Caenorhabditis elegans: one gene and its partners. The protein of the gene in region 2 interacts with the protein of the main gene of each other region in a pairwise test. Each region holds a gene or a part of one and is shown on either strand. Other genes may lie near its edges. The genes, in order: F49C12.9, ufd-2 and sma-3.

Region 1 (3,842 bases), on a different chromosome or scaffold from region 2:
TCAACCGGAAATGATGAAGAAGTGGGGAGATTCAAAGCGAGTTAACGCAAAGAAATAATACGGGAGAAGAAGAATAGGGTAAAATAAAAGGATTTACACGTTTGAAGAACTGGGCTCGGTTATGCATTGATAACTCTGGCAAGCTTCTGAATGCGGTTGAGCAATATATCTCCATCCTTGATAACTGCCTTGTACAGATGATTCTTCGAGTCACGATGATTCACTTCAATCACTCCGTTAACAGCATCAATACGACATTGCAATTGCCCAGTCGCAATCAGACGGTGCAATTCGCGGTCGATGAAAGCACGGGAAACACCAAAATCCTTGGCCATCATATCGATACGTACAGTCTTGTAAGGAGTCAAAAATTGTTCGTAAGCGCGATGGCGCATTCCACGAGAGTAATAGTTGAAGTGTGGCGATAGATAGCGATCAAACTTGAACTGAAATATAACGATAAGTGAAAAATACAAGATTTGTTTTAGTAACTTACTCTCTCGCTTTCAAGAGCGGCCAACTGAATGAAGAAACGATCGTAGTGACAATCATAGTATGATTCGAGATACTCACGAACTGGAATCAATGTTCCATTGAGTCCCCCTCCGGTCAGCTGTTCTTGAACTTCATTGCAACGAATAACCTTGGTACGAAGGTCTGGTCTGTCCAAAGCAAAGGTTGTGGTGATGACAGTGTAGAGAATCAAGTTTTCATATGTCATGAGCTCGTATGATCCGAATGTTGGCACAGCTTCAAGGAACAAATCAGCGGCTCCAGCAAAATCACGAACAGACATTCGGTAAAGCGCTTCGTAGGATCGAAGGCGATTTTTGCGTTCCCAGTCTCCTCCTTGCTCCATAAGTTCTTTTGCTTTGGTGATAAACTTGTTGATGAGATGATGATCGAGGAAGAAAAGTCCAACACGAATCATGGCGAAAACTACATCAATACGATATCCCATACCGACTGTCTTCTCATAGGTGGCTGTGTACGCTTTCAGAGCGTTGTCTTTGTCACCGATCTGACAGTAGTACTCGAACTTGCGGAGTAATCCCTGACGCACTTCAGATTCGCCAAGGTTCTTCTCCGCGTCTTCAACTTCTGCGGTGATTTCATCGATCTTTTTCTGATTAGCTGCTTTCATTGCAGCCAATTGTGTTGCATCTACGACAATTTTGAAGTCAGCGCAGACAAGCTCGTAGAATGGCGCCATGTCGAATTCTTTGATAGTTTCCTGAAGCTTCTCGAGCTTGGCTTCTTTCACGCTGCTGTCTACTTCGGGATGATTGAGCATGAATCTGGTTTGTGATAACTCAAGATCAGGCCATCTTGAAATGATCTGAAAACTCTGAACTTGAATGATTTCAAAACTACTGATCCGTACCTCCTTATCGAAGTTTCCATCATCTACGGGTTTCTTCGTGCTCTTTTTGGCAGCCTCTGTCATCCTCCTTAAAATGAAATATGAACACTTGAAATTGTAGCAAACGTTAAAAAGCGGCCAAAACGGAAATAAAACTGTTCAATGGTATTTCAAACGTGAAATAGCATTTTAGTTAGTTTTCATTAAATTTGCTGTAATTATCGAAATATAGATTTGGTATTAATTTTAGTGTCTAGTTTGTTAGTTTTTGAAAATAAGCGTTGATATCTATTTTAAATTCGTAATAGTGCCTTATTTTACATTACAGTGAGCGGCACAGTGAAAACTACGTTAAAATATCTATTTCATAGTGCATAAACAGACAAAACCGTATCAAAATTCAAGAAAACTGGGGGAAAAATTCAAAATGGGACGAATAAAAGTGGGCGGGGATGATGACAAGGGTTTGCAATACGCGGCGCATGCTTTCGCAATTCCGCCGCACGGTTTTATTCATCCTTTCATTATCGAGCGCTCTCGTTATTAGCGTTTGAACGCAGGAAACGGAGCATTTGTTTCGCATTCAGTTTTCAACCGCCATCCCGTTGTATTGAGAAACATGGTTAAATTGCATTTAAAAACCACCTGCCGTGAAGTCCCGATCGAAGAGATAATTTCTACTGGACAGATCCAATTCTTCAAGCATTTATCAGAAAGTACTTCCGAATTCAAAGACCAAAAAAACGTTGAACGTTTCCGTAAGTTTATTTCTTCAATTATCGATCATATTTATTTCTTCAATTATCGAATCAATCACTTTTCAGGTTTGATTTATAACGGAAGAGCATTGAATGAAGAGAGCCTAAAAAAGATTACTGATGCTGATTCAATCAGAGTCGTGCTGCTTCCACCGCTTAAAACAAATGTCAGTTTTTTTCCGTTTGAAACCCAAATTAATTTTAAGATTTTCAGAACCACATCGAAGAAGAGCAAAAAAATCGAATCAGTATTGCTCTCAAGGAGTGTACCGCCCCATATACACGCCCAAATGATCGTCGGCTTCATGGTTTCAACCACGACTTTGCACTTCCAGATCACATGACAACGCTTCTTGAGAAACACCCACAGCTGGTTCATGATAATCAATTTTTATCTGTTCTGAGTGATTGGTCATTATTCCGTGCCTATTGCGTTCAGAACGATTTCAAAGATGATCCAATTCGGGGACAATTCATGTACACGAATCCCGATTTCTTGAAAGTAGTAGAAAATATTCTATCGACAGTAGGATCTCGTTACGGATACGAAAACCTTGATTATGCAAACGTGGAAAGAAATAGACCAGGAATGCTTGCAGCTCAGCGACCAATTGGAGGTGCTCAACCGGTTACTCATGCGTTGCTTCAAAATGTAAGATTTCTTGGACACACTGATTCTCATAATTCGAAAAGAATAATTGAAATATAATAATAGTTGAATACATATTTCTACTAAATTCTCCATGCCAATTTTTTCAGGCTCTCCAAGCAGCCCTGGCAAACATTGCAGTTCCTCCGGCAAATCGGGTTCCAGCTCCCGCCAATGTCCAGCCAGCGCAACAGCAGCAAGAAGAGCCAATGCAGCAAGGATATGAACAACAAGCTGCGACTCTCCGCGAGTTTGGATTTGAAAATGATGAGCTCATTCAGTTGGCTCTCGAACAGGCGAATGGAGATGTGCAAGCGGCTATGGAGTTTCTTATTGATCTCCAAAATTAATCTACACCAATGGTTTTATTCTGTCTTCTCATTAACTTTTTCTGTCTATAAGTGTTCATAATTCGTTTTTAATGCATTCAAATTGCCCTATTCATTCGTCAATAGGGCTAAAATAATCTCATATCTGTTTAAAATAAAGCAGTGAAATGAAATCACCGTTTATTCGTCTAAATCACTCTTCTACAAACTCTTCTCTGCTTATTTAGTGTCTCTGGGTCACTATAACATCGGATAACAACTTATTTCCCTGGGGTTGGGAATGGCAATATTCACTTCGCTTCTGATTCAAAAAAAAATACAAAATAGTCCAGTACATCGGCAAATACTCTTTTACTACGGACATATTTTTTACTACTTCTTATAGTGATTATTACAACGAGTTGAAAATGCATTTTTTATAGTATCATACATTCTAGAAATTAACAATTGTACTTATCAATTAAATAAAATTAGATAGGCCACAGTTTCAGTTTATGCTCGAGTAGTTCTAGCAAATCTGTGTTGCTTTCTTCTGACGGGATACTGAGTTGGAGTTGGCGGAGTGATACTGCTGGGTTACTGTAGTGGTACTGTAGGCGCAATTAATATTTTTTCGCAGAATCAACAAATTTGTTCCATACCTATTGTTTTTTTTGAAAATAAAAAAACATTTCCTGGTCCGTTCGGTAAAAATTTACCGTATTTCCTCTATCAGTTTTGCACCCATTCATCTGTTCCCTATG
Region 2 (5,865 bases):
AAAATATAATAAATAATGAAAGAAAAAAAAATATGGTCCAAAGTTTTCTTATCCAACTTTGAAACATTCACATCAAAATTTCAAGCTTCAAGATCAAGATTGGAAAAGAGTTTGTTGAAAGTAACAGTTTGTCGGAAATTCAAACAAATTTTTATTCTTTGGCGAACGTTGAGCAAAAAAGTTGATATCAAATTGCAACGTGGGAAGGATAAGCAATCATTGTGTATAAATTGGAAATTTTCAGGTTGTGGAAGCCTCTCTCGTCGAAGGAGATTCAATTGTTGCGAAAGAAGCATCAAGCTCAGAAGACTCAGTTTCTTACATTTCTCAAAAAGGTGGTACTGTACTTGTGGATAAATCAGGAGAAATTCTTTACAAGCACATTGAAGACGATAAATCAGATTCATGGCCAGATATTGATGAAATAGTAAAACTGGTTGAAGCAAGGGTATGCTTTTTTATTTTTAAAACTCTCTTAACAAACTTCTCCAGAACGCCAAATACTTGGAGAGCACTAATAATTCTACAATATCAATTCCGAAAGGTGGAAATCTGGCAAAAGTGAATTCGGAAATTTCTGTAACAAAGGAACTGGCGACGGACAAAAAGAAACCGTGTTGCGTAATTAGTTAAATATCTAGACTACATTTACATTAAAACCATACATGTTATCTTGGCTGATCTCATTATTAATTCATTATTTTAATATTAGATTATTTAACTATGAAATAACATAAACATTAATTTATTTTCAATTTGTTCCAATGTGGAACTTCCAAAAAAAAAACACTCGAATTTAATGTGGTTGTTATTTTACAGTGAAAAAAGATGTTCGGATGCTTTGATTTCTTTTGGTTGAAGATTTTCAGACTCGTTTATTAAACTTTTACTGTATTCTTGGAATAAAAAAGTTCAATTTATTTTCAATTTTCAATCAATTTAAAAATCTATCATCTGAAGAATAAAACACAACACTATTACATAGAAGTTTCAAGGCAAACCATATATGGCCATATGAATTTTTTTGATCGTTTCAATAGTTTTCTAAAAGTACAATAATCCACGGTAATCCTACAGTACCCTGGCCATATCCCGGAATATTTACGATTGCATCAGAGTAGCAACAAACGTGTGTATTGATTGATTTTTTATCGTATTGAAGGACATCTGCTGGTGGACCAGGTACCCGCCTATAAATGTCTAGAATTGGGTGAGTCTCACAATGACGTCCCTCGGGTCTCAATTGTACACAATCGATTGTTGAGTTGCGCTACTGTTTTCCTCTTGAAACTATAGTTAACTAAACGATTTTTATTGAAAGTGAGGTTTATTCTCGTTTAAAAAAAACAATATTTATTAAAGAATAAAATTTTGTAAAATCAAAAATGTGCGTTCCATCCACAGTCTCGTTCATTTATATACTTTTTTGTTGCTTAATTTATCTGCCCCTTCAAATTCTTATTGCTCTAAAAATATTCAAATTAAGTGGTGTCTGAAAATAGAATCATAAAGATACAATATTTAACACTCGTTCTTCCGAATTCAGTTTTCTACCGATGTTTCTCTCCTGCAAAAATGTGGTGTCTCGGTAGTGCAGCAAACGCGCTCCACTGCATGTTCATTGAGAGGCCGAAATGTCAGCGTCTTTGCAGCTGCATTGCTCCTTCGATTTTTCTATCTCTTGCGCGCGCGGTGCAAATGTCTTCCTACAGTTTTTGCTCTCGAAAATAATTTTATGTTTTCCTCTATACACAATTCTAGTCCAATATTGTTTTCATACAATCCTCTGCGTTTAATTTTTCCGTCTCATAAATGTTCCCATTACCGTAAAATATTTGTTATCAGACCTCTCACCATTCTCTTTATCGTTACTCTACTTATCAAAATCACGTGATCATCACGAATTTCCAGAAATCGTAGATGATTGAAGACGAGAAAGCAGGCTTGCAGCCGATGGACATAAGTGATGCTTCTGTGGTGCGTTTTTGCCTGACATTTTATATACTCATAGGCGATTAGTTCTTTTTTCAGGCAGATGTTGAAAGCAAAGACTTCCTCACAAGTCTCTTTGACTGTGAAGGTAAATCAGATGACAGAATGCTTCGTTACGCCGATGCGATAATCGATGTTCAAAATCTGAATTTTGATGTTTCTCCTCAGTGTCTGCAATCGAACATTGCCGAAATAATCACAAAGTTTGTACTTTTATCTCAAGATGGATCAAGAAGGGGGCTGTCAAGATCGTTCAATTTCATCGACCCTGATATCATTGCTGGATGTCGTGAAGAAGACGCCATCGAGTTTCTCTTAATCAATTTTGTTCGTTGCCATCATGAGCTTGGAAAGGTACTCTATCTAATATAGTTCTATTTTTAATTTAACAATTTTCAGAGCGGTACTTCAAATTGCTACAAGAAAACTCTCGAATCTACCAGGAAAGCAGTTTTCTCAGTTTTTGTGATGATACAGAGAGGCTACTTGGAGAGCCAACTTCGCAGCCAACATGCTAGTTTGGTGTTCACAAAAAGACTTCTGGAGGATACGGTGTCAAATGTTTTTCTAAGAACATTGGTTGAATACCTTGCAAGTACAGATGAATGCGATGAAGACGCTATTACAGAAACATTTAATCCAATTTTCGGGATTTTGCGGAGCGGAATTATTTGTCAACGCTTTGAAGACAATAAGGACGAAATTGTTCGTCAGATCCTTCGTGTGATGAACTTGCTTCTCAGTATCAGACTCCCTTCAAACGGACCTCGCCCACTGAGTAACCTACTTGTTAATCGAGAAGATTTTCTCCCAACGCCGTCCGAAAAAATACAAGGACGCGAGTTTGGTTTAATGTCCTTCCTAGGACCGTTCTTTTCGTACGGCCTCGAATCATCAGCAAGGCGTCCAAATCATCGAGTTTTTGTGGATTGTGAAGAAGATGCAAGAAAATATGATGGATCAGTCAACACTGAGCAGAAACTGTATTTCCAAAGAATGGATCCAATTCGAACTATGCTTCATCAATTGATGCTTCCGCTTGCTTCGGATCAAGGAAGTCGCAACAAAACTCTAAGATGGATTGCCACCATCATAAGCACCAATGACATTCGCACTCGTTCACATTATGATCCTTCAGATGTCTTGTGTGATCATTATATGACAAATTTTTTGTCCGTGATGTACATGTTTTCCGAGAAAATCGACTTGTCCAAAATTATCGTAGATTATCCGTTTTTACCGAGTTCGCTTATAAATATTTCCAAGGAGACTCGTCTCAAAATGGACGAATCAGGAGCAGTCGCTTTTGCTAGCCAATTCGGTAAGTTTCATTTTTCTTTCTCAAAAAATTAACTTGTTTTCTTTTTCCAGCAGATCGTCCAGATGAATATCATTTCTCTACAGTCTGCTTCTTCCTGACAATTGCAGCACAGAGGCTCGTTATTCCTCCATTGATGAATCAAATAAGTGAATACTCTCGACACCTTAAGGAGCTCAAGCATAAGATCAATGCGCTCAAAGAAAAACTAAATACTGTGTCAGGATTCGAGAGAGCTGAGGTGGAAAAGAAGTTGAACTATGAGACTGAACACTGGAAGCTCATGTCTCGTCATCTTTTATGTGTTAAGACACAAGCTCAAGATCCTGCATTAATGGCATCTTCTATGGATTTTGTCGATAAGCAGATGAAATTCATTTTGAATTTGCTTTGTGATAACTTGGATTTGCTCGGAGACGACAGTCAACTTCCAACTGAAGTATCACAAATGTTTTGTGCGCTCCCAGAATATTTTCTAGAGGATGCTCTCGATTTTTACATATTCGCTATTTCCAATGGAATGAAACTGCTCATGGAGAGAAATGCGGATTGGATTTCCCGTCTGACGGTCCTTTTCACACAATATCACTACATCAAAAGCCCATTTCTCGTTTCCAAACTGGTGAGAGTGCTGTCTTCTATTCAACCTCCATTATGGTTCAACGTGGTCAGACTTCGAATGGCACAAGAAAATTTATTGATGTGCATGATAAAGTTCTACTCGGATTTCGAAGACAATGGTGACTTTTATGAAAAGTTTAACGTTCGTGGAAATATCCAGTACATGTTGGAAAAAATGGAGGAAGATATGTTCTACAAAGGAAAGTTTATGGACATGGCAAGAGAATGCGGAGCAGAGTTCATTCGGTTTGTCAATATGGTGATTAACGATGCAACATGGTGTATAGATGAGAGCTTGTCTGGTTTGAAGAGTATCCATGATGTTGAGAAAAAGATGGCGAAGTAAGACTATTTCGAATGATAACTTAAAAATATAAATTTTATTTTCAGCAAAGTCGAATGGGACAACACAGATCAAGAAATCCGTAATCAGGATCTCGGCGTGTACGAGGAGGCAAAACGTAAAGTGAAGGGATGGCTTGGAACAGCCAAAAGTAATCTTAAATTGCTACTATCGATTACCGTAAACTCACCCGAACCTTTCCGTACTCCGGTTCTCGGCGAAAGACTTGCTGCAATGTTGAATCACAATTTATCGCAACTCATTGGTAGCAAGGCCTCCGAGTTGAAAGTCAAGGATCCAAGAAGTTATGGATGGGAACCACGGGAGTTTGTATCGTTGCTGATCTCAATCTATTTAAAGCTGAATATGCCTGCATTTGTTAAATACATAGCATACGACGAGGTTGGTTAACACATTTGTTTATTCAAAGAGATTTATTTTAATTATTTTTCAGCGTACCTACAGTCCTGAATTCTTCCATAATGCGATTGAATGCATGAGAAAGAATAGTATTGTTGGATTCAGTCAACTCGAAAGTTTCGAACATTTGGCCGAAGATGTTAAAAAAGAGTATGAGGCAAAAGCTGAGCTTGAAGAAGAGTATGATGATGTACCAGAAGAGTTCAAGGATCCTATTATGGATGCAATTATGGTTGATCCTGTCAAATTGCCATCAGGACACGTGATGGATCGTGCAGTCATCGAGAGGCATCTTCTCAGTACACCCAATAATCCGTTTAATCGTGCTCCCTTGTCGCACAATGAGCTTTCTCCCGATTCTGAGTTGAAGGCAAAGATTCAGGAATGGATTTGCCAGAAAAGAAATTCAAAGAAATAATTTTCTATCATATTCTATTGTTACCCAATTTTGTATTTATTGTACTTGACCATTGCACATGTGCAAAATGTCTGTAAATTTCACGCGTTCCTTTCATTTTATAAGTTTTTCTGGTCTCTCAATGGTCTAATCTTTCGGTTTCGGTTTCATTTTCTGCATGGATTCCTTAAAGTTGGTATTCTTGCCCTCTTTCATCAAACCTAAAAAACACGAGTAGTGCCTTGAATGTGAATAAATTTATACTAATTTACTTATTTTCTAAATTTTGGCTTCTATTGCGGTCTCCGATCCGCATACTTATATTTTTATTCTTTGTGAATTTCTTCACATATTCTGATTTTAGCCTTGAACCTGGAATGACTAAATTTCTGTAGGTTTATAACGAACGGTGTCGTATTGTTTTGTGATTTGTTACATGTCAATAACTTATAATATTTATACGTTCCCAGTCATCCCAAATCCGATTAATTTTTATTTTTGAAATATATTTACTGCTTTCAGTAGCTTGGTACATCTGGAACGTATTTGGTCGACGGCAATGTCTTTATTCGCGAGACAACTTCAATCCTTGACTGCCAGTGGAATCCGCACACAGCAAGTTCGTCTTGCGAGCACGGAAGTATCATTCCACACAAAGCCATGCAAACTTCATAAACTTGACAATGGACCAAACACCTCTGTCACCTTGAACAGAGAAGATGCTCTCAAGTACTACCGTGACATGCAGGTCATTCGTCGCATGGAGTCTGCTGC
Region 3 (5,459 bases), on a different chromosome or scaffold from region 2:
TTCTATAATGTTTTTCAGGCAATTTTGTCTGATACTCTCATCTCTCCAAATCAAGCCAAAAAAGTTTGTGAGAAAGATGGATCAATCCTGACATCATTTGAAAATTTTGATGAGCGTACCAAACTTTCCACTGTTCTTCGTGATTTCCTTACTGCAAAGAAATTGGATCGTGGATCAATGATTGTCGATGGACATCGTTTGAAGAACTGCGAGACTACAGATAAAACCGTTTTGGCTACTGTAGAATGCAGGAATTCATCATCTGGTTTCACTACTGATGAGAAGCATACTGATAATACTTTCATGTGGAAAAGCTGGTCTGCAACTGAACCAGGACAGACCATCTTTGAAAAGTTAGTTACAGTTGCAAGTTGTTTTTTTTTAAATATGATTTCCAGAAGCATTGAATCTTGCCTTCAACTCTCAATTTCTCAATTCCCTGCTCGCAGTGAGCTGATCAATGACGTCTTCTGCAACTATGTAAAGCATCCAGAAAATGAAGGTGCATCCGATCTCTGGAACTATGGAGCTGTCTGTGGACGTTTCCCAGAATGGATCTAATAGTTAATTTTACGTATTGGATTTGTTATAAATAATCATTTGCTCAAAATTTTCGAGCATATTTTCAGAGTAAACAATTAAAAATCCCAAGAATTAGGGGGCGTTTTTGTCGTGACCGAAAAAAACTGCGAAATCATTCTGAGAATTTCGTTAAGTAAATGTTCGAAGAACATGACAACATTAAAAGAAATCTTCATAATTAAAAAGAACCAGCAAATGTAAAACATGTTACAAGTATCATCATTAGAGTAGGTAAATTCTGAATTCAGGTGGTTGCGAGAAGGAAAGCGTTTTTAACAAATCATTATGTCATTGAATTTGGTTCCATCAAGTTCGTCCTTGGAGTTTGCTTCATTTTTTGATCGATATACTGAAAATATTTCATTTTCACAGAAAACTCAAACAAAATAGGGTACTTTTCCGATTTCTGCCCCCAAAATGTTTTCGATATATTCATTAATGAAACGTTAACTTTTTTGTTATTTAGTATTGAAATAAACATTCACGTGAGAATTGAAATTGAAATATTGAACTTAAAAAATTGGGGGGGCAGAAATCGGAAAAGTACCCAAAATAGAAATATGGCTTAATTTTGGATGATATTTACAAAATGTACAAAAATTTTATAGAATATTTTTGATAATTTGATAAATTTCCAGATACGATTCCTTCTCAAAAAAACTTACAGCCAGTGGCACATTGAGCCGAAGTTCAAGCCAGCAAGGCGTGGATGTGACGTCTTGACGTGGATAATCTTCTCCCCAGCCCTGAAAATTTGTTTATCGAAGTTTCATTTGAAAATCTCACGATAAATTTAACAAGTATAAATCTACAAGGAATTCAAACATTTAGAACAAACCTTTACAAAAGAAATACGAATAAAACAGTGTTTGGAGAGTTCATTCAATCCATCGCTATCGTTGCACGACTGTTCCAACATCTTAATTTTTGACAATTGTTGAAGAATAGCATGAAAATAATTTTAAATTTTAAAAACCTCACTTGAAAAAATAAATTAAACTCAAAAACGCATAATTGACTGTGCGGTGGTATTCGGCAGACTTTGACCAGTGGCATGTTCATCATGAGATTCGTATTTTTGGATTGCACAAAAACTGGCATATCAGAGTTATTTGTAATCATAATATGCATTTGATCTTCTTTATTATCAAGCTGAATTCCTTTTCCAATATGCATCCGTGTGTTCTCAATTGTTCCATTTCGATTCACATTGGTTAATTGTCCAAGACATATTCTGAAATTTCCGGATTATTTTAATAAAGAAACCGGTAAGAATTATTATTATTCAGAACTTCTCGAAGTTAAAGCTTCGAATCAGCAATTTTCACGTTAATTAACTCGAAGTGTCCACTTTTTAATAACTATGATAATATTATAGAGAAGATATGTATTATACCGTATTAATGGAGGAAATTTAAATCAAACTAATAATATTTATATTTTGTAAGAACATTTTTTAGAAGTCCGACCGAAATCGAAAAAAACTAATTATTTTTTGGTTTTTTCACTTTTAAAATCAATTTATTTCTACTTTCGAATGTCTTTCAAAATCTTACCTTGTATTTGAATTTGATGGATTAGTATATCCGTCGACTGTAATGCTCAGATTCACTAGCTGAAACTCCAATTTTGTTTTGTTTTGAAAAATCAAAACCTCACTTTAAAAACTTCTCCAACTCTCGAATTCAACTCAAAATACGTAATTTGGGCCCAGGATTTGGGATGACGGAACGGTGGAGGTCGCTGGTGAACTTGCTGAAAATTATAATTTTTGCAAAAATGTGTATTGCAAAAAAACTAACCACTTCTCCTCCATCTTCTGAAAAAACCGACGGGCTCGGCGAGCTTGCACAAGATGCCGTTGAGCTTCCACTAGACTGCCAGATAGCTGCAATTTTATGTATTTTTCATTTAATTTCCCTAGAGAATTTTAAAGAGAGTTTAGTTGTTTTTTTTTAATAGAAGATTCTGATATGTTTAAACAATTTTTAGATCCAACGCTTACTGTTTGGAGATGATATTGGTTGTGGTGATGGCATTGAAGAATTTAAGCCTTGTGGTCGTGATAATCTGGAATTTTATTCATTTTTGAAATGTATTCCAATTTTAAACAACTTTCAGAACAAACCTCTGATAGTGATATGGATTAATGCAGATGTACATGGTTTTGGAACTAGATTCATATGGGTAGGAGCATGTATCAATTGAACGTAATTCCTGAAATGAACATTCAAAAATTTCAAATTAATATATCCAATTAACTTACATGAGGAGAACTTATATCCGGCCACCGCCATACTCGACAGTAAATCACATGTGGAAGACCTTTCTTATGGGATACCTGAAAAGCCGGAAGTTTGGCGTCAAAAAGTCGTTATTTCAAACCAAAGTGTTATTTTTGAAAGTTATCACAGTTGTCTGATTAGCGAACAAATTTACGTTAAGCAACCACAACGGCGCCACATACCTGTAACCGACCGTCTAAACTTTTTGCTATCGTAATGCATCTTGAGTTTGTACATGGGTTTGCTAGAACACATTCCAGATCTTCGAGGGTTCCTGGAATTTAGAATTTGAAATGGATCGGTTGAATTTCTTTTTTTTTAATATTTATGATCTAACTTATAAATAAGGTGCACTTTGATTCATGAATCGAAAAGGGTCATCGGAAAATGTTAATCATAATATTATATTGTATCCGTAACAATATGCTTAACATTCGGATGGGTCTCGCCGCGCCAATAGTATTTTCGAATACATTCGAAAATGTTAAGTTTGTTTTTTGGTGCTTTCTTCTTACTGTTTTTATAGTTTTTTGCAAGTTAAAAAAAATGAAAATCATAAGAAATCGTAAGAAAAATTAGACTAAGAGGAAGGAGGCTCAAATATTTCTACTGTAAATTTAAAGGTAATCACAAAAATAGTTTTGAAACTTTCATAAGCGCGTCGAGACCCTTTTTCAGAAATGTCCCTCCCTAAATTATTATAAATTCCTTTAAAAAATATATTTGACTAACCACATCCATTATTTTTCTTTTTTAATTTTTTCACCAATGCCTCAACAGCCTTCTCACACCATTTTTCTTCGTCTTCTCCAATTTTCCAACCTAAAAGCTTTTTGACAGCTGGACCATGCATATGCAGTAATCCGTTCATTTTGACTGAAATTTTGCTCTCATTTCAAAAAAACTAATTCAATAATTATTATCGATTTTTGTTTTGCGCGATAAGAAATAGTAACAGGTAACAGAAACAAAAAAAGTGGGTAAACTGAGCGGAAAATGAATGAGAGAAAGAGAGAAACAAGGCTAAAAGTGAATGTTTGAGTAAAGGAAATGATGAGATGATAAGTGATAACAGGGAAGGCGGAGGAGGTAAAGAGAGACTGAGAAAATGAAGATGAACACAAAGAAAACAAAAATGAATCGTTCTTTTGTTTGCACTTTTAAATTCTTTTTTCATGACATGACACCGTTCTTTTTAATTGAACAATTTGAGTTGGGATGAGGGATGTTCCAGACAAAACGTGGCAAGTTCTCACATTTTGGAAGAATGCCAAAATGTTATTTTCTTTTCTGATCAGAGAAGATTTCCATATATATTACATTTTAATTATTTTTCGAATATTTCTATTTCAACATTGTAGTGAATTGTCCAAAAAATTCCAGATTTCACGAAAATTTGTCACTTTACTAAAACTATTCAAAACTTTTTTTTTTAATCGAAGTTTTTATTATGATATTCGTTCATGGACTTTTCGAGTAGAAATTCCCACTGGCAATACTCCATTTAAAGGCAGAGTACTGTAGCGCCAGTGGGAATTTTGTTTAAATACACATATAATAGTTGCCACTCTTTGACATAAAATAAAAAATTTCAAAAAAAATTTTGAAAGGTTTAATTATGATATTCGGTCTTTTTGGCACCATAGGAATAGTTTTTAACACTTTCCCCACTGGCACTACTCCACCTTTAATCATCTCGAAAAAATATATGGATTTGAAAACATTGTCACTATGATCTCATGTTGTTTATGTCATTTGCTCAAAATGAATTTCTATCATAAAAATGTTGAATAACGTGAAATTGAAAAAGTATTTGCGAAACCCGGATGGAATCACATCAGACTGGGGCAGTGTTGGTGGTGACCTTTCCCCACGCCCTGCAACCGATATAAAATAGTGTCCGTTGTGTTGGGGGATAGATGTAGGTAGAATAAAGGTAAATGTGCCCTTGTGTTAATCTTTGCGTCTCTTCATGGCGCAACCCTCTCTCAATTTTCCCAATTTCTTAGTGCCTTTGCGCTTATTGGTCACATCGGTGACCGCTCGTTGAAATAGAATGAAGAGGGAACAGGGGACAAAGGATGGTTGGGGACACAGTTAGCAAGAAAAAAAAAAAAAGTCAGAGAGCAATTTATTCTTTCAAAAACATGAACATAGTGAGAGGGCGAAATAAAAACAGTTGAAATCGGTATTTTGGAGGAAGAAAAACGTCATCGGGGGAAGAAAGAAAAGGCGAAAGATTGATCTGTAGAGATCCAACGATGATGAACTCAAATGATTATGTTTAGAGATGGGGACAAACAATTCGGGGAGCTACTACAAATTTGAAAAAAAAAAGAACAAATTAATAAATAAGGAGCCTAAAAAATAAGGAGCCTAGATGAACAAAAAACAACGTCTAAATATTCTGAAACAAAAAAATTAGAATCTTAATTTGATAGTTGTGTGCATATCTTCACATGTATTGAGAAAAGATCTTTGAAGGCGAGAAGCAACTGGATTATGCATACCTTCTAATGCAGCTTTAGCCTGAAATATTTAGGTGTTGAAATTAGGTTTAAACTCTACATATATGTATAAATATATCATATA

Evidence for each region.
Region 1: the proteins of ufd-2 (region 2) and F49C12.9 interact in a two-hybrid assay, tested with the Caenorhabditis elegans proteins (one large-scale study listed by BioGRID).
Region 3: the proteins of ufd-2 (region 2) and sma-3 interact in a two-hybrid assay, tested with the Caenorhabditis elegans proteins (one large-scale study listed by BioGRID).

Annotation. Positions count from the first base shown.
Region 1 is NC_003282.8:9,314,248-9,318,089, reverse strand, and holds F49C12.9 (UBA domain-containing protein), read left to right. Parts: upstream 1-1,874; 5' UTR 1,875-1,982; coding exon 1,983-2,121; intron 2,122-2,187; coding exon 2,188-2,288; intron 2,289-2,335; coding exon 2,336-2,773; intron 2,774-2,880; coding exon 2,881-3,120; 3' UTR 3,121-3,273; downstream 3,274-3,842. Other genes in the region: rpn-7 (26S proteasome non-ATPase regulatory subunit 6), read right to left, coding at 120-446, 497-1,339, 1,385-1,447.
Region 2 is NC_003280.10:8,060,832-8,066,696, forward strand, and holds ufd-2 (Ubiquitin conjugation factor E4 ufd-2), read left to right. Parts: upstream 1-1,909; 5' UTR 1,910-1,920; coding exon 1,921-1,977; intron 1,978-2,019; coding exon 2,020-2,346; intron 2,347-2,391; coding exon 2,392-3,313; intron 3,314-3,363; coding exon 3,364-4,273; intron 4,274-4,321; coding exon 4,322-4,676; intron 4,677-4,728; coding exon 4,729-5,112; 3' UTR 5,113-5,362; downstream 5,363-5,865. Other genes in the region: T05H10.8 (peroxiredoxin-like family protein), read left to right, coding at 245-448, 493-633; pdha-1 (Pyruvate dehydrogenase E1 component subunit alpha), read left to right, coding at 5,469-5,482, 5,614-5,865. UniProt on the Caenorhabditis elegans protein: Acts as an E4 ubiquitin ligase mediating the assembly of polyubiquitin chains on substrates ubiquitinated by another E3 ubiquitin ligase. The elongation of preexisting ubiquitin chains preferentially targets ubiquitin 'Lys-29' and 'Lys-48' residues.
Region 3 is NC_003281.10:6,860,226-6,865,684, forward strand, and holds sma-3 (Dwarfin sma-3), read right to left. Parts: upstream 3,744-5,459; 5' UTR 3,739-3,743; coding exon 3,600-3,738; intron 3,142-3,599; coding exon 3,050-3,141; intron 2,924-3,049; coding exon 2,849-2,923; intron 2,800-2,848; coding exon 2,711-2,799; intron 2,653-2,710; coding exon 2,588-2,652; intron 2,471-2,587; coding exon 2,385-2,470; intron 2,338-2,384; coding exon 2,242-2,337; intron 2,198-2,241; coding exon 2,139-2,197; intron 1,817-2,138; coding exon 1,564-1,816; intron 1,502-1,563; coding exon 1,421-1,501; intron 1,329-1,420; coding exon 1,248-1,328; intron 932-1,247; coding exon 866-931; 3' UTR 749-865; downstream 1-748. Other genes in the region: cra-1 (N-terminal acetyltransferase B complex subunit NAA25 homolog), read right to left, coding at 5,289-5,396. UniProt on the Caenorhabditis elegans protein: Involved in TGF-beta pathway. Plays a role in male tail tip morphogenesis.